Rhinolophus ferrumequinum: one gene and its partner. The protein of the gene in region 2 purifies or fractionates together with the protein of the main gene of each other region. This does not show direct contact. Links are inferred from orthologs where the notes say so. Each region holds a gene or a part of one and is shown on either strand. Other genes may lie near its edges. The genes, in order: AGO3 and TNRC6A.

Region 1 (9,000 bases), on a different chromosome or scaffold from region 2:
TAGACCTTCAAGTATTTTAAGACAATGGAAACTAATATGATAAAAGAGAGTTGTGATATAAGGCAATATAGTATTTGACTAAAATCTAACAATTTAGGACAATTTGGCAAGAATTCTACTCTGAGCTAGGATTTTTCCATATACAACAGAGAACTCTTCCAGGAAATGTTCCCTTCACAGGGCCCCAGGCCTCTTTGCATATACCATCAGGGTAGGCTTATAGAATCAAACAAATACAATGGAAAATAAAAATGAACAGAAATTAATTCTAAAATACCAACTTATACATAAAATTCTCCAAAACAGCAAAAGGAAGTAGTATTTAGAAATCATTTCATTCATTCTAACCCCTAAATTACTTAATTTCTTAAATTTTTTTAAAGTAATAGATTTATTAGTTTGGAATTTGGTTTAAAGATTTTAAAAGTGGTCATATCAGCGTGATGGAATCATGGATAATTTTTAAAAGTCTTCATGGTGTTAACTGAATTATATTTGAGGGTTACATGTATGTTCTTTTTTTCCTTTTAAGTCTGTTTAGAAGAAACAAGTTATTTCTTGCTTCCTTTTTCATTTTCCCTCAGGGTATTCCATCACTGTCAGAGAGATTAAATTCTAAAACAAAAATCAAAATAATTTTGCACATTTTTATAAGTCCCACTGCCAGGCAAAAGCAGCAAATACTAGGGGAAATAATGTAATGGCCACTCCAAAGCAGCACAAGCTAAAATTTAAGTGACAACCAAGTAGAAAAACATTTTCCATGTTCAAAATTAATGCCCTCCAGACAGAGCAGCAGTTTGACTTTTTTTTCCAAGACAAAAAAAATGCAAGTGAAAAAATTTATATCATAAAAACATTCTCCAAAGTGATTAAAGATTGTTTAAGTATTCAACTGAGAACCTAATGGCCTTATATTTGTTTTAGTATTTTGAACCCACTTTTTTCTACCTCATTTAAATCTAGCTTCCATACATGAAATTTTTGTTCTTTTGGAACTTGTTCTCAAATGACTTTTCTTGATATTTATTGTTCAAGAATGCAGAGTATCCAAACACAAAGTATAACTAAGACAGAAACATAGTCTATTCACTTTTGCAACATTGTATAAGACAACTACCAAACCTGTCAAATCTATTTGCACAGTAATGTAAGGTAAATGTTTTTCTTCCATTGGAAGGTAGGTACAATTCTGTCTGCCCTAAACAGTAGTCTGACTTTACCTAAAAATACAGACTAGAATAGTTAAGGTCCTAAAAAATAGCTACTCTGGAGAAGTGATATCTCAATGAACATTTCTGCTTCCTCTATTCCCGCTCTATTTGGAACTAAAACATAACATATACTTTTAGCCCAGCTGTAATTAAACCATAAAAAATAGGGTTTCAGCAGAAGTTCCTCTAAGGAGTCATAAGCACAGATGCTACACTGTTATTATTTACAAACCAATTGTGGCAGCTTTTTGGGTTAAATCAAAGTTCACACAGCACTAGATCAGTAGATTGAACAGGACACCCTTAAAAATCACTTAAAATATTTCATGCAAAAGGGAAGAACAGATAAATAACTTTTAGTGAGGGATGATTCACCAAGAAACTACAGTATTTGTATTCAAAGTCCTCTAATATAAATAAATTTAAGTTTTCTATGTATCCACCTAAGGACTAGATTTTAAAATATCCTGTCATAAGATGATTTCTAAGAATCTCCACACAAAAGAAAAACTTGGAACAGAATTGGAGAGCCAAGATCCAACACTGACTTAATAGCCTAGTAGAGAACATTTACATCTAAAATTTTTAAACCAGAGTATGTACTTGTCAAATTCTTTATTTAAAACTTAGTTGCACATTTTTCCCAACAATGCTTTCAATTTCATGTGTAATTTAACAATTGCATATAAGTTTCAGGAAAAACGAAAACTTTGTTTTTAATGATGACAAACTTGAGCTAAATTGTACTTTATCTTCCTTATTAGATTAGAGTCACTTATGTATAAACTACACTGAATAATAAACTGCATTTCAAGATGTCCAATTCTTAGCTCAAGAATTCACAGGAGCGTTTACTGAATCATACTTGGCTAGCTGGATCAGTTGGTTAGGTGGTTTGACTTCGGAAGAATTTTCTAAGATGTCTATATATTTGGGCATAATTTCATGTAAAAAAACCAAAGAAGACAAAGGAAAAAAAGCTTCAAAATTTTTTTTTGACATATCTTTAAAAGTTTTAGAATGATTAATAAAGTGTTTAACTTTCATGTTTTGTTTTCCAGGCTTGACAACAGGACAGTTATATAAAAATCACCTATAACCCCAAATCATCACATTCCGTAAAGAGTATAGTAGAAAGTTAAAAATTCCATATAATAAAACTTGTAATAAACCTCTCACCCTGTCGCAACCTCTATAATTTGAGTGCTTCTGCATCTACTTGAAAATTATACTCCTTAACCTAATTAACAAATTCTTTATCATTATGTCACTGGTTTCTTTTACATAAGTTTTTCTTATCTCATATTCAGATATCTCCCAAACTAGCAAACTATGATGTGAAATTCAGGGACTTGGGATACCATTAGTCACAATACGCCCACCACCACCACCAATATTTTGAAAATTAATTTATAAATCTGTGACTGGATGAAACATACTTTCAAATTTAACACACCAAGTATGAATGCTCCTTTGGAAAACAAGCCGTTATGTAACATCTACTTTATGTCCCTCAATTAATTACTTTAGAACCATAGTGCTCTTTTTCCTTTCAAATAAGTACTGTCCAAGTTGCGATTTTTTTCTCAAGGCTACCCTTTTACAAGGAGAGAAAGTTTTCTTCATTCCAAATTTCCAGGAATATGACAACCGAACCTCTAGGGAATAGAGAATGAAAGAATATACTGTCAGCAATTTTAAGATCCACCTCCTCACATAAGCAGAGATCCAGGCTGATATGACATTTCCAAGATCCTCAGGAACTACATAACACGCTGCTACAAACATCAGAAGAGAACTCGGGGATGGGAGAAATGTCATCTTGCATTTGACGTTGCACTAAAACCTATTTCAAACTTAATCCTCATCTGTTATCTCACAGTTATCTTCACAACTACCTTCAGAGGTAAGAAAGGGAGAGAGCTACCTGCCCAGCGCCTCTACGGGACACACAACCCAGTTAAAAGGACACGCACACCGTTACACCTCCAACCGGAATAACAAAAGCGATGGCAAACCCTTCTAGACCCCAGGAAAAGAAGAGCACTATCGACTAGAGAACCCCAAACTTCAATCCTCTCAGCAGTGTCCCCTCCCCGCCGGGTCGCCAATTCAGTGGCTCCCGGGAACTGCGGCGGGGCTGCGGGAAGGCGGAGGAGGGGCCGAGCGGGGGTCGGCGAGGGGGAGCCGCCCGGACGGCGCTCACCTCGCGCGACGGGGCCGAGGCTGAGGGAGCGACGATGCTCTGGGGACACCCCCACCGACCGGGCCAGCATGGGACACACTCACCTGCGGAGCCGATTTCCATTCATGGAGCTGGGGGGAGTGCTTCCAGCGAGAAGGGCGCCCGCCACTGGGGGGCAAGGAGGCGGCGAAGGGGGCGACGCGGCGCGACAGGCACTCTCACTCGGCCCCGAGGCGGGGTGGCGACCGCTTCCTCTCAGCGAGCGCGCTCCGAAAGCTCTCGTCAGGAAGAGCCGCCGTCGGGAGGCAGCACGCCACTAGGCGAGAGGAAGGAGAAGCGTGAGGCGAGGAGAGGGGAGCGCGGTGCGGAACTTGCGTCGCCCGCGGCCGCTGACGCTCGGGCTGCCCCTCCACGACTGCGGCGCCGCGGCCGACCTCCCCCGGGGCCGTCCCCGGAAGCCCGCTGGCGTCAGTTCCGCTGCCCCGGCTCGCCGGACGTCCAAGCCTCGCCTCTCCGTCCCAAGCCGTGCGGGCGCGACGTCGGTGCGGACGCGGCCGGCGCGGGGGACGCAGGGGAGGTGTGGGGAGAGGGCGACTAGCGTGGGCGGAGCTTGGGGCACGCGCAGCGGGGCGGGGCGGAGCCTCCGCTGGGCTGTGCCGGCTGGAGACGACCCGGCGGGGCTGGGCTCCTCGGGCCACCCTGGTGCGGAGCCCTGCCTGCCTGCGACGTCGCGGAGGGCGGTGTCGCTTACCTGGGGAGGAGCTACCTGGAGCGAGGCTGGTCAAGGTGCAGGGCCACCCTCCTTCCCGAGCCTCTCCCTCCACGCCCAGTTGGGGCGACCCCACGCGCCTCCTCCTCAACTAGTTGGTCAAGTAACCACTACAGTGGATCACTCCAAGTCCGCAGGGTTTCTTTGACGACGATTTGGGGGGTAAAATGTACAATTTAGCTTGGGAGAAGATTAAGAACCAGGACATTACACAAACATCAGATCGAATAATTTCCATGTTTAAAACTCTTTAATAGTGTCTCGTCACACTAAGACCCAAACTCCTCTCCAGGGCCCAAACGCACTGTGTGACGGGGGCCCAGCTTTTCTCTTCAAGCAAGACTTCACTATGCTACAGCTATGCTGGTCTAACTCCCCCAACGGGCAAAGCGCTTCTTTTTGCTATTGGGAGTCTCTCAGCTTTCAGTTCCCTCGGCAAGGAACCCTCTTCTTTCTCTCCACCCCGCCCCTCCTTTTTACACCTCAATTTAAGACTTAGGCTTTTTCGGCTATGGGAGGGCACCCGTTTTTCTATTACAGTATTTCCTTAATAATCCTGTTCTAATCTGTAATTTGTTTTTACTAGTTTATTGTGTGCCCCCTCTACCAATAGTATGTAAGATTAGGTTACTAGGACAAGCACATTAACTGGCAAATAGTAGGTCCTTAATATTTGTTTCCTTTAATGAAAGGTGATACTATTTTACTCAGGCTGAATGATTCATGACTTTTCCCTATGTTCCTAACCATCAGTAGTAATGTTGTTTAGACTTTAAAAAATCAAAGTACATTCTTTTTTTAAAAGCTGGGACAAAGAGGAAAAGGAGAGAAAGTATCCTATCTTAAATCATCCCCTTCCCCCCCCTTCAATCACTGGGACTTTGGATCAATCACTTGAGCCTCCTGGCTTCAGGTTCCTCTTCTGAAAACTGGAGAGAATATGTACCTTATAGTAGTTGTGAGATTAGGGAATGTGCATAAAGCACAGAAAACCCTCCCTAAATGTTAGTGAATAAAAAAGTATTTACTGTATTTACCATTTTAAAGCACTTACTAGATACACATACTGTAAACACTTCATAAATGGGTGGGATTCAAACCCACATCTGATACCACTTCTTTCTCTCTTTTTCCTTCCCATCCATAACCCATTTACTGAAAATGCCCTCCCCAATTTTAAAATATCAAATTAAATGTCACCAGATGAAACACTGTATCTTCAAAGTTATTTTCAATCCTTGACTAGACAAATCCAAATCTATAGCAGCATCTGACAGGGTAAATACCAACTGTTGTGCAAAGGTCTAGCACACCTTCAACCCCCAATTCTAGAACTGGTTCCTCAAGTGACTGCAGGCTTCTTCGGCATCTCCCAGAATAAACATGTTGACGGTGATGAACCCTGGAGGTGGGCCACTGTCTTCTTTGCTGACATTGATGAAGCAGGATTTGGACTTTCTAATTAGATCCAGTTTAATAAATGTCAATGATGCCTTCCCACCTACTTCTGCTATCCAGGGACCCCCACCTCTTCAGAACAGGCCCAAGTGAAAGGTTCATGAATTATAGTATCAGGAAGTGGGAAGGCAAAAAACGTTTGAATGATTCTGCCAAAAGCAAAGTTGTATGAGGCTTTCCCCTGACCACGTGCACACACTAGTTTTGAATACCCTCATTCCCAAAGGAGTCTGTTCTTAAGGGCATAGAACAGTGCCATTGTGCATCTTGTTAACTGTCATAGCCCGTGCCTACAACAGTGCCAGTGCCTGGCACATATCGACATTCTGTAAATACTTGTGGGATGCATGAATAAATGAGTGGGCTTCAAGAATGGGGCTCAGGAAGCAGGCTAAAACTCTGCCCTCATCTGACGTGGCACTGGTTGCTCTCAGAAGGGAGAACTACAAAATAGAGAAATCTCAGGGGAAAGGAAATCAATGCTTGCTGAAAGGTGCATCCCTAGGCTTTCTGTGCTACACACATCATTTCTGGATGAGAACAACTGGAGAGAATCCTCTCCTCTCCCATGAGCTGTAGTGGACTTGACACTTGGGTTCAAATCTCTTCTCCTAGACCAGTTTTTAAACAGCAGAAAGCTAGAGTTGACCCCTGAACAACACGGAGGTTAGGGGTGCTGACTCCCAGGGAGTTGAGAACCTATGTATGACTTTTAGCTCCTCAAAAACTTAACTAGAGATATCCTTCAGGACCTGGAGTGATTGGCTCCAGGACCCTGTGGACACCAAAATCCAAGGATGCGCAAGTCCCTTATATAAAATGGTGTAGAACATGTAGTGTGCTTTCCACATCCATGGACTCTGAACCAGGGACTGAAAATACTGTTTTTGGTCCACAGCTGGTTGGATCCACGGACGTAAAACCTGGGGGGATACACAGGGCCGACTGTATATGTATTGAAAAAAATCCGCACATAAGTGGACCTACAAAGTTCAAACCTGTGTTGTTCAAGGGTCTGCTGTACTTTGTACTGCAGCAGGACACAGTATAAAACATACTGGCTTTAGGGACACTCAGAGCTGAGACTGCAGGCCCTCTGCTACTATCTGTGATCCTAGGAAAGTCACTCTGAGCCTCATATTCCTCCTCTGTAAAAACCAGAGGACTTGAGTAGAGCAGACACTGCTGGATACCTACCCAACAGCCCTTCTTTCTTGTCTAACAGACATGATTTGCCTTTCTTTCTAAGCCACACAAGTTAGAGGTAACTCCTAATTAAGCCACTCATGATGGATGATCTTATTTGCTTTGCCAATGACAGGAGTGGGAAGATGACCCAGTTCTAGCAAATGAGACATTATGCCAGATCAGCTGGGGCTTCCAAGGATTTTCTTACTTTACATGAAACATTGGAAAAACTTAGTCCCTCTTCTGCAAGACACTGTTTTGTCCGCATTTCCTTCCTGGAATTATGGAAGCCATCTGGGACCCTTAGGTGAACTAGCATGAGGGTAAACCAACATAGAGGATAGCAGAACAAAAAGACTGCAAGAACCTGGTTTGTTGGTTTTATCATTGAGCCACTGAATTAATCAACCTTGGGGCCATATTAAATCCGGACATCTTGTCATGTACTAGTTTCCTTATTTAAGCCAACTTAATGGGAGTTTTGTTATATGCAACTGAAGGTAATTGATAAATCACTCCACATGAATGCTGTGCTGATGCAATTAAATAAGATAAACAGATACTGTACAAAACACCTAGCCAAATACTTCAAAGTTCCCAAGCCTCCTTTTTCAGTTCACTTCCATTAACAATCCATAAGCTTTTTCAAAAAAACTGGCTGGGATCTCCTACTGCCTCCTTTAAGAAAGTTACTTGCCTTCAATAGGTGGGGACGAGGGATGGAGGGCTCCTTAGAAAGGTCCCTCAGATTTCTGTCCCAAAAGGACACCGCCAAGAAGATAGTGGTGAAGCTGCTGCAGTCCAGAGCAGAGGACAATGTGTTCCTGCAGGGCAAGCCACGCTGGCCTAAAAAACCTCGATATGGCATCCTGGGGAAGATAGTCATGGTGCTCAAGTGAAGAACTTCTAAAATGTACCTTGTCCCCAGCAAGTCCACTTTTCCAGCTACTCCTTGACATAGCTGCTTTACAGGAGTGCCTCTCTCATGCTCTGCATTTCTAAGCTTGCCAGGTTTCCTCAGCTGATAGCCAGAGGAATAAATGTCTTGAAAGCTAGAAACAGGGAGAGCTATTTGCGACAATTCAATGCGACTTGCCATTCAAACAGTACATGCAACAGTCTGGAAATTGCCCAGACTCAGAACTTGAAAATAGTCTTCTCTTTGTACTGTAACCCTTTCCTTTAGCCCTCAAACCCTAACTGCCACGAGATTCGGGGTCTGCTAAGCCAAGAGATATCCAACAAATACCCACTCTCACTCTGCTCCAAGCCACTTGCTAGATAAAAACGTGCTACAATACATGTTGCTGAATGACAGGGCAGAGGGAAGGCTGCCCCACCAATACTGCAAAGGGATATCCAGGGTGCTAGGACAACCCTTAACTTAATACCTTAGGCTCCAGGACCAGACAAATCAGGCCTTGGGCTCCCATCATCTTTTTCTCTTGAGCAGCAACCAACAGGCAAATCGTGAAACCTTTTTTAACATCAATCATTAATAAAATTGAAATGTATGGCAAAAGAAAAAAAGGGCCGTAATGATCATCCTCCTCCTTGCTCTGCTAACTACTTCTGCTTTACTAAGGGTCATAAATTTATTTTAAGTCTTATTTCAATTGGGAAAAATCTCCCCCATGTTCCAATTTGCATTTAAAGTACAACCAAGCCCACTCACCCTCACTTCTAAAAAGGAGCATGCAGTCTGGCTGGCTTGCTCCCAAGGGAATTTGTCAGGTGGTAGCCACAGGTTAGCTCTGCAATTTGAAGAGTCACAACACTTGGCCTCCAGGGGAATGTTAGGGCCCACTTATGTACATAATAGCTGCCACTGAAAATTTCTCACTGGGCCCTGTGCCAGAATCCTCCTCTGAGCAATCTTCCCATAGAACAACAACGCTAGCACTAGCAGGGAGGAATGCCACAACTTACATGCTTGACAACTGTACCATCAGCTTAAGGTACAAAAGCCATAGAACTTCCAAGTTGGGGTGAAAGTGAGAAATGATGGTAATATGGTTAAGATTCTGCTTACCTGAAGATTCAGAAATGCTGAGTCCATCCTATGCACTCAATATCACCTTTTGATTCCCCGCCCCCAACCCCCTGTATGCATGAACTACAGATTTCTAGCTCATTTCAATTATATTCACAAATACATGCTATGGGACCTAAGATGGCAAAAATGG
Region 2 (9,222 bases):
ATTCTCGAGGAAGCTGCACGAGGGCTTTTTGCTGAGAGCCTCTGCCGCTCCACACATACCTGATTTATGGTGTGACCGGGCGTGGCTTTCCAGGTTGGAAGTTACCGGAGGCGTTTCTCGTGAGACAGCTTCCTGTCCAAAGCAGTTCTAACTCCTAACCCATACATACATGATTTTTTTTTTCCCTCTCCCAGGAAACTTGTTATCCTGAGTGCATTAAAAATCCTGTGATGGGCACTGATGTGGCATCTTTTAAACTTTATTTCCCTGAGTGCTTTATGAGCCCTTTCAACCTGGAAATGCAGCTCTTCCGGTTCCGGAAACATTCTTTTATTGGGGGATGATATCTTCCATTTCATTCTTTTTTTCTGGAATTTAACTATTTAGATGTTAGTTCCAGTTCTCTGATTTTCTTATGCCTTTTCTCCTATTTTTCCATCAATATTTTTTGTTGTGAAGTTTCCTCAACATTTTCAATTTGTAATTCTAGCATATTTACAGTCTCTCAGAATTCTTTTTTGTTTCCTTGTACCCTTTTTATAACATTCTGTTCTTTTTTCATGGATATGATAGGCCTTGAGGGGATAGGATAGAGTTTTGTTTTGGTTTAAGGTTTTCTTAACGCTCCATGCATTGGAAACTGTGCAAGGTTTGTCAAGTGGGTTCCTTTGTGGGATGACCTGACTGGGTTGTTTTATTGGGGATCTCCAGCTGCCAGTGTCTCCCAGGCATTTTCCTTGGGCTGATATCCCCAGAGAGGACACCCCACTCTTCAGAAGGGGACGGAGCAGGTGCCGTATAAGAAACCGGCTACACGAACGTGGAGTCCAGCGGGCTCCATTCACTTACAGACAAACTTCCTCACCCGTTTCCAGCACAGCACCTGCCTACAGCCATTCCTGACTTCTCCGGGGAGCTTGTAAAAATGCTGACGACTGTGTGGACGCCACCCCGAGATTCTGGTTACTGCATCTGGGGGTGGCCCTTTACAACCTCCCAAGGGGACTCAGGAGGCAGCCACGGCTGGGCGCCACAGTCTGATTGACCAGAGGCGGCCTCCATTCTGCCAGAATGAGCTGCTTTGTCCCCGGCCTGTGGCCATGACCACAATTCCGCTTCCTGTAGGACCTGCCACCTGCACATTGATTCCTTCTGGGCCTTGGGGTTAGGATAACCTGGCTTTGGGCTTCTGATTTCTGCTCTGCTAGGTCAGTTGCCACTTGGCCATAGGACATGTCATCTTCCAAAATGCTGCTGCTGTCGTTTCCTCTGCCCGTCTCCTCGTTCTTGTTTGCTCATGCCTTTTCCCTCGTTCTTATCCCTGTAATACGCTTGTTTAACTGGAATCCCTCCACCCTGCCCTCTATCCACAAGAGTGTTGTTAAAATGTCAGCTGGGGCTTGCCACGTCTTCCACGATCAGTGAACATTGGGCCTGGAGAATGTCAGCATTTTCCCCACTATTCTGTAAATTTCTGGGCTGCTTATGTTTTCAAGGCCATTCTAGGTTTGTGACTTCTGGCTCCTGGGTCAGCCTAAGTTCGCTCTTAGATCAGGAAACTTTCCTTCCATCATTTCCTTATTTCTTCTCATCTTCCTCCACCTATTTCATTCTCTCTTCTGGTAACTTTGTAGGGTGTGGATAAGGGATTTGTCTTCCACATACCTTTTCCATAAGCTTTTTGTTTTTTTAAGAAAAGTCATTTTTTTATCTGTTTCCTCTTTCTATTGGAAGAAGTCACCATTTATATTCCCTAATTCAGTCATCCGCGTGTGCAGCCTGCCATCCACTTTCTCCTTTATGTGTCTTTAATCCCAAAACCACACTTGTCATGTCCATTCTGTCCTCCTTTGCTGCTCATTTTCTGTGACAACTATGATCAAGTTACATAGAACCCATGTCAGTCTTGCTGAGAACATGAAATAGACATCAATTCTAACTTTCAGTTGTTGTCTGTGAAGAATTAATTTATTTCTGAAGGAGGACGCAACTGTGAGTCTCCACATAATTGTCGTTTGCTTTTTGAATTACAGCTTTTTTTTTCATTTATTCACCCATATAGAGGGAGAGTTATTTGTCTTTTTTTTTTAAACCAAAAAATTTCTGTCTTTTAATTGTGTCTTGTCTTTTTCTTCTCCTTTTACTTTTTCTTCTTCTCCTTCTTCCTTTTCTTTACGTAACATCTATTTGTGCTCTGCTGGTTTCATTTTAATTCAGTTCAAAGTTCTTTCTAATTTCCTTTTTGCTTCTTTCGTGGATTATTTAGGAATATGTTATTTCGTTTCCAAATATTTGGGGTTTTTCAGACTTATTTCTGTTTTTGATTTCCAATTTCATTTCACTTTGATCAGAGAATATACTTTGCATGATTTTAATCCATTTAAGTTTATTGAGATTTGCTTTATGACTAAGATTATCCTGGTAGACGTCTGTATGCATTGGAAGAGAATGTGGATCCTGCTGTTAGGTGCAACATCCTATAAAAGTCAATTAGGTGAAGTTGGTTAAAATGTTGTATTCAAGTCTTCCACACCCTCACTTGTTTTCAATCTCGTTGTTCTATTAAGTATTGAAAGAGGGATGTTGAAATATCTGCCTTTAATGGTGGATTTGTCTGTTTCTTCTTACTGTTCTGTGACTTCTGTTTCCTGTATTTTGAAGCTGTCTTATTTGGTGAATGAATGTTTAGGATTGCTATTGATCCTTTGTTATTATGAAATCCCCCCCTTTGTCCCTTGTAGTAATTAATAGTAGACATCTCTCCATGGCTGGTAGCAGCAGAGCCGTTCCAGCTTTATTGTGACCAATGTGAGCGTGGGATAGCTTTTTCCATCCACTTCTTTCTCAGCTATTTGTATTTTCTGTTTAAAATGGGTTTCTTTTAGCATGCAGTTGGTTCAATCTGACAATCTCTGTTTTTAAATGGAGTGTTTAGACCATTTACATTGAATGTGATTATTGATGTAGATAGATTAAAATCATGTTCTTTGTTCCCCCTTTTCCTTTTTTATCTGTTTTCTTTTAGATGAAATTAATATTTGTATGATTTTATTTCATCTTCTCTGTTGGCATATGAACTAGGGCTCAATTGTGTTATTTTAGTGGTGGCTTTGGGGTTAATAGTCACCATCCAACTGTTTTATTATATGAAATGTATAGGGTCTACTCCTGGTCCTTGTTCTGTCTCTTAGTGCTTTCTGTGTTATAACTGGTGTTTTATAATTTTGGATTATGAGCTCATCTGCAATAGGAACTTAATCTGTGGAAATTCTGTGAGGCCTGGGTCTAGGGAGTTTGCCTCTGGGTCAGTTTTATGTCTGCCTCGCCAAGGCTCCATTCTTTACGTGTTATTTCTTATTGTCGGTATTCCTGGGTCATAAAAGTAGTATATATTCAAATATCAAAGGCACATGAGGATGGGCCTTGGTTATTAATTGTCAGAGGAGTCCTTTTTTCCTTGACCCAGACTTTAGGTCGAATCACAGCGGCTTCTGTGTTTCCTTGGATGTAAAGGTAAACTTTTTTCTGTTCCACTTTTTCACTGAGGATACAGCACTTGAAGAGCTGTCGTTGCTGTAGAGATTTCAGCCACAGCTCCCCGGGCATGAGACTGTGTCTCCGACACCTGCTGAGGTCCCATCCTGTGGCTTCCAGGTTCCCAGCAAGCACCAGTCCCTCAGGTTGATAACAGTGTTAACACACGTGCTTAGCTCTCCGTTCTCTATTTCTTCTGCCCATTTAGAGAGCTCAGCTATGCACTTAAACGAATGTCTGATATATTTCACCCAGAGGCTCTCCACAGTTATCTGGTCCTCCAGATTGTCAGGAACAGGACTTTCCAGCTTGCTTCTCGGCCCACTATCTGCAGACGTCCACCTCCACAGCTCCAGTGACGCTGCCCCTCCAGCAGCTGTCAGGTTCCTGGGATGCTGCTTCCGCAAGGATGCGTCCAGCACAAGTGGTAACAGACCCGACTAGAGTGGCTTCAGCCACAAAGATGCTTAATTTTCCTGGGACAGGTGGACCCAGGGGCGGGCCGCTGGGTCTGCCAGGGACCCCTTGTCTGCTATGATTGCATAGGACGGTATAGAACAAAACTGGTTTGGAAAAGGCCCTTTTTCCTCTCAGAGGCCCTTTTCACTGCTGCCTGCACGTGAGCCTCCTTTGCTCAAACAGACCCCCAAATTGCAGAGTGACAATTATACGATCTCCTCCTCAGGAAAGTGGTCTGCACAGTTTGTTTACTAGTTTGAGAGAGTATCAGAGCTTAGACTCAACCCCAGGGTGGACAGTGACGGAAGAAAAATCTTTCATTTGACTTACTTTAAATCACCCAGATGCGTTTATTTGGAAGTGACTGGATTAAGTGTCTCATATTTGGCAGAATGGGGGCAGAGGGGCTGGATGTAGGAAGTTTGGCTCAAGACGAAGAAGGGTTTACATTTTTGCCTGCCTGAGTTAGTATCTGACTGTCAAATTTGCATCTGCTACGTCTGTTTACGTTTCTGTTGCTTCTAACAGACAGCGCAGTGCCTCAAGGTCAGACGTCTTGCTGTGTGCATTTCTTTAACATTTCTTTAACACCTCATTCCTCCCTCTCTCCTTCCTGGTGCCTGGGACCAGCCCTGCAACACAGCAGGCGGCTCTACAGGACATCTGGTTAGTAAGAGATGGAATGAATGAATGAACGGGAGGAAACAAGCCCAGTAGATTTTTAAACCACATCTATTTAACTGTATCCTGATTGAGCAGAGAAACTAGAAATGCAGAGAGAGAGAGAGAGAGAGAGAGGGAGAGGAAGAGAGAGAGAGAGGGAGAGCTGCAGACAGAGCAGAGCTACGATAGCTAGAAACAGCCTCATCAGAGCCAGCGGGGCCCCACCTGACTCCTACTGCAGATGCAAAAAAAAAGAAGAAGGGACTGGACGGTTCGGGGGAGCGGTGCCCCGTGTCCCGCAGCTGCTCAGCCCCCACAGCCGCCCACTCCCACTGCTCAGGCGGCTTGGAAGTGGTGGGGGTAAGGGGTGGGGGCGGGGTGGGGAGCAGCCAGAGTCAGGCTTTCCAGAACGAGGCGGAATGGTGTGAGCTCAAACGCCCTGCAGTTGCTGGGCCCGCGGTGGCGAGACTTGGGTTATTCACAAAGGCTGGGAATCGGATGGGGCTGGCACTGCTCCAAGTCGCAGAAGCTGGGGGGAGGGGGAGACGCAGCAGAGCGATTACCCAGATCTTAGCGTTGCAGGGGCTCCAGGGGTCTCCATCTGCATCCGTCCCTCTACCACTGCGTTTTGGGGGTAGGGGGCCCCCTCCAGAAACACTTTATCTGTCAGCTTGTGAGCTGGAGGTGGGGGCGGGGGCCGAAGTTAGGCAGACTCGTCTCGTCACGTGACGGGGGACCTGTATCACGTGATGAGTCCGGTGATGGTGGAGGCAGCATGTGACTCGGGGCTACGTGGGCTCGAAAACAATTTAAACACAAACACACCAGCAGGTCCCCCTCCTGTCCGCTGCCTCTCGGCCTGGCTCTCCCCACCTCGGGGCTGGAGCCCGGCTGGATGGAAGTCCCGTCGTCCCGCGCCCGCTAGCCTGTGAGCACCGCGTCCCTGGAGCTGCAGGGAGCGTCCCGGAGCCGTGCCCGTCATTCTGCAGCCCGCGGACTCCCAGGCTGGTAAGTGACCGCACGCTGAGCGGGGAGCGGTGACGCTGCGTACAGGGCACCCCGGCGGGGCCCTGCCCGGGGCCAGGGCGGCCCGGCCCCTCCGCGCTGCCGGGCTCCTGCGCCCGCGCGGCCGTGGCCCGCGCGGCCCCCCCACGCATCTCGCTGAGGTCTCCCCTGCCCTCACCGTCTCCCTCTCCACCCCACGTCTTGTTTCTCTCTTTTTCGTCGGCCCCACTTTCCCTCTCTCCTCTCTCACTGCTTTTCTGACGAGGTCCTCTCCCCTTCGTCTCTTACATTTATTTTCTTGGACACCTAGGTCTTCATGTTCTTTCCATCCAGAACCTGCAAGGACAGCTTCTGAGCACTTGGGGACTGAAGCTGTGCCAGCTGCCCCTCGTGAAACGTTTCTCGCGCGGAGACCGCGGAGATGGCCCAGTGCCCGTGGTGCTCGCGCACGCACGTGTTCAGGCTGATTGACACATTTTGTGGCGCCGTCAGATGTGTTTCTTGGGTGGATGTTCGTGGGCTCCAGATCCAGCTGAGCTAGGGGACCAGGAGGGGCAGTTACAGCTGTTGGGGGACGCTGCTCCCTGACCCCGGATGTGGACTCCCCACGGGAGAACGCAGGAGGCAGCAGCCGCGCTCAGTGCTTGCAGGCTCCTGGGCCGCGTGTCACAGAGCTGGCTCAGAGTTCGGGGCCACACGTTGGCAGGACGAGGCAGAGCGGTGGCCGAGGCGCATGCGATCACGGCAGTGTCCACAGCCACGCAGCAAGCACTTTGTTGGCTGCAGAAGCCTCTGATTCACTGTTGTCCAGATATGCTGCCTTCACTCGGCAAGAAATAATTAACAATTACTGAGCACAAGGCACCCAACAGCTCAAGGGGGGGGAGGTAGGTGCTATTTTTACCCCCTTGTTAGAGGTGGGGAGACTGAGGCATGAAGCAGGTCACTAGCTAGTAAGGGGTGGAGCTCAGGCAGCTCTTATCCAGAGCCTGCACAGCTGACCACGAAGAAGACCTGCCTCAAAAACTTTCGACTGCCCGGCTATGTGACAGTTAGCGTGCAAACGTTGGGCTGCCTCTATGAGCAAAGCAGACACGGTGTCCTTGCCAAGTTCATGGTGCCGTAGAGAAGGCAGCTCAGAAACACGCCATCACCCAGGCAGGGTGGTATTTCAAACGGGGGTATTGGCCACAGAGGAAATAGTAGGGTGCCACGAGGATATAGAACTGGACACATACTTCTGTGGGGGCCCAAGGTGGCCAGCTGGCCAAAGGAGCCCCCTCTGCTCATGTCATATTTAAGTTGTGACCTGAGAGTCCGCCAGGTGAAGAGCCGGGAAGAATAGTCCGGACAGAGGGAATGGCATGTGTGAGGGCCGTGAGGGCCGAACTGGGGCCAGCTGAGTCCCAGGGCTGAGCACATCAGATTCTGTGGGTCTCTGTAGGTCTTACTAAGTGACTTGCTTGGGTCTCACCGTAGGATCAGTGAGCAATGATGAAAGCATTTTAACTAGGGAAGTAGCACAACCACACCTGCAACATGAGACGACTTCTAGAGGTGTATACGTTCATTTTGGCGATATTGCAAACCACCCCAAACGTAGGGGCTGGACACCGCAGACACCGATAGCTCGTTATGCTGGCAGCTGGCAGTCAGGACGGTCCTTCTTCTTCTTTACCCCGACTGGGTTCCCTCCTGTGCCTCTGGCTGCAGGGGGGTGGTCTTAGGTGGTCTCACTCATGTGTCTCCTGATTAGCAGGTGCAATTGAAATTGCCCGGGCCACGTGTCTCCCTATGGAGCCAGCCAGCTCAGTCTTCTTCATATGGTGGCTGGGTTCCAAAAGTGGCAAGAGAGGGGGTGCCCCAATGCACAAGCACGTTTCAAGCAGCTGCTTCCATCGTTTGCTAGTGTCCCATTGGCCTAGACAAGTCACATGATCGAGGGATGGCGAGATACACCTCTCGACCAGGGAGCTACAAAATATTGTATCTATTTGTTCCCAGCCTACTGTGAATTCAAAATGGGGAGCTGGCTCCAGTCTTCCTCTCTTATGGGAGGAGCTGAAAGCCAGGAGAAAGCCTGGAGCCGATTTTGCTGTGATTGGAGATGAACTTAGACTTGGCCGTATGTCAGACTGTTTTCTGCTTAGAACACGTGGGAGCCTGAGCACCGGTTTTGGACAGGGATCAGGAGGGTGTCAGGAATGTGGTGTAGAAGTGTCCCTTCTCTTCTCTCAGGGTCACCTGGGCCTGACGTGGAGTCCAGGAAGACTTGTGCGATTGTTACCCTGGGATGAAATTTGGGCCACATGGACCTCGGAGTGTGTTGAAGGGTCCCAGACGAGGCGAGAGCACGTGCAAAGACTCCGAGGGAAGGAGGTAGATGGCTTGTTTGGGACCTAGGAGGCACTTTCGCTTATGTGCGTATAGTGGGGATGGAATGGGAGTGGACAGACTCGAAACCTGTTTTAAGAGGTAGAAGTAACAAGCCAAGCCGATGGAGCTGAAGAAAAGGGACAGAGGCAAGGTTAGTGATAGGATTTCCTAAGGAGTTGATTAGAACATTCTTTGGGTGATGGTGTCGGGACGAGAGCAGGAAAAACCTCAAGCATCCTATCCACTGGGTCACATGTTGCTGAGACACTGAGAACATTGAAGGCAGAAAAGTGTCTGTCTGACTTGGCAATGTGGAGGTAGCTGAAGGCTTTGATACGAGCGATTCTGGTGAGGTGGTGAGGATGGAAACCCGGTGGGAGTGGGTTCAGGAGTGAAGGAGGGTAAATAAACTGTGACCGGAATAACGGAAACCAGGCAGTGTTTGGGGACGGGTCGGGGCCAGGGCAACTGTCTGCTTGTACATTTGCCGTAAAACAAAACAATAACAGGAGCCTTTTGATTGTGTAAACTATTGGAGCAGTCGGTCGAAAGGGACAGAGCGAATGGCATCCAGCGTGTGTGAGTGGTCGGTGATGACAGACTTTTACTTTTTATAGGAGGGAATAATGAGAAAAAAGGTCGCGCTGATCCATGAAAGCTTGTAGATTCGGTGTTGAAAGGATGAAGCATTTCCTGTCAGCATTTGTTTTCACAATAATGCATGAGGCGAGGTCATTAGCAGAGAAAGATAGGAGGAGGGAAGAAGAGAGTATCTGGGAGAGGGAGAAACAAGCGCCGTCAAGAAAGGAGGAGGGCTGCTGGACAGAGAACAGAGAGCACGCGATGGGTGGTTTTCTCCCGTGTCGTCCAAGTGCTTGGGCTCGAGCCCCTGGAGTTGGTAGCATCTGTTGGGCGGGAGTTTTACTGCACAAATTCCACTGAAGACCAGAGGGCGAGGGTGCTGGTCTGGGCGACAAGGACGTGCTTGTCAAGCCACAGACTGGAAGCAGAAGGTTGCCAGGATGGGCCGCGGAGAACGAATGCATGGTCGGCTCGGTGGGCGGAGGTTATGATGAGGTGAACCTGTGATCTCAGCATCCCCTGGCGGCTGGCTAGACATGCAGACACTCAGGCTTGGCCCCAGGCCTGCCGGAGCCGAATCTGCACTTTAACCAGGTCCCCAGG

The links.
Region 1: the proteins of TNRC6A (region 2) and AGO3 purify together in Homo sapiens (affinity purification with mass spectrometry; 7 studies listed by BioGRID and IntAct, with this or other methods). This does not show direct contact. The link is inferred for Rhinolophus ferrumequinum from reciprocal best matches to the Homo sapiens genes TNRC6A and AGO3.

What each region holds. Positions count from the first base shown.
Region 1 is NC_046292.1:24,944,871-24,953,870, reverse strand, and holds the start of AGO3 (protein argonaute-3), read right to left. Parts: upstream 3,885-9,000; 5' UTR 3,527-3,884; coding exon of another isoform or gene 3,523-3,526; coding exon 3,504-3,522; intron 1-3,503.
Region 2 is NW_022680357.1:18,041,144-18,050,365, forward strand, and holds the start of TNRC6A (trinucleotide repeat-containing gene 6A protein), read left to right. Parts: upstream 1-5,418; 5' UTR 5,419-5,664; intron 5,665-9,222.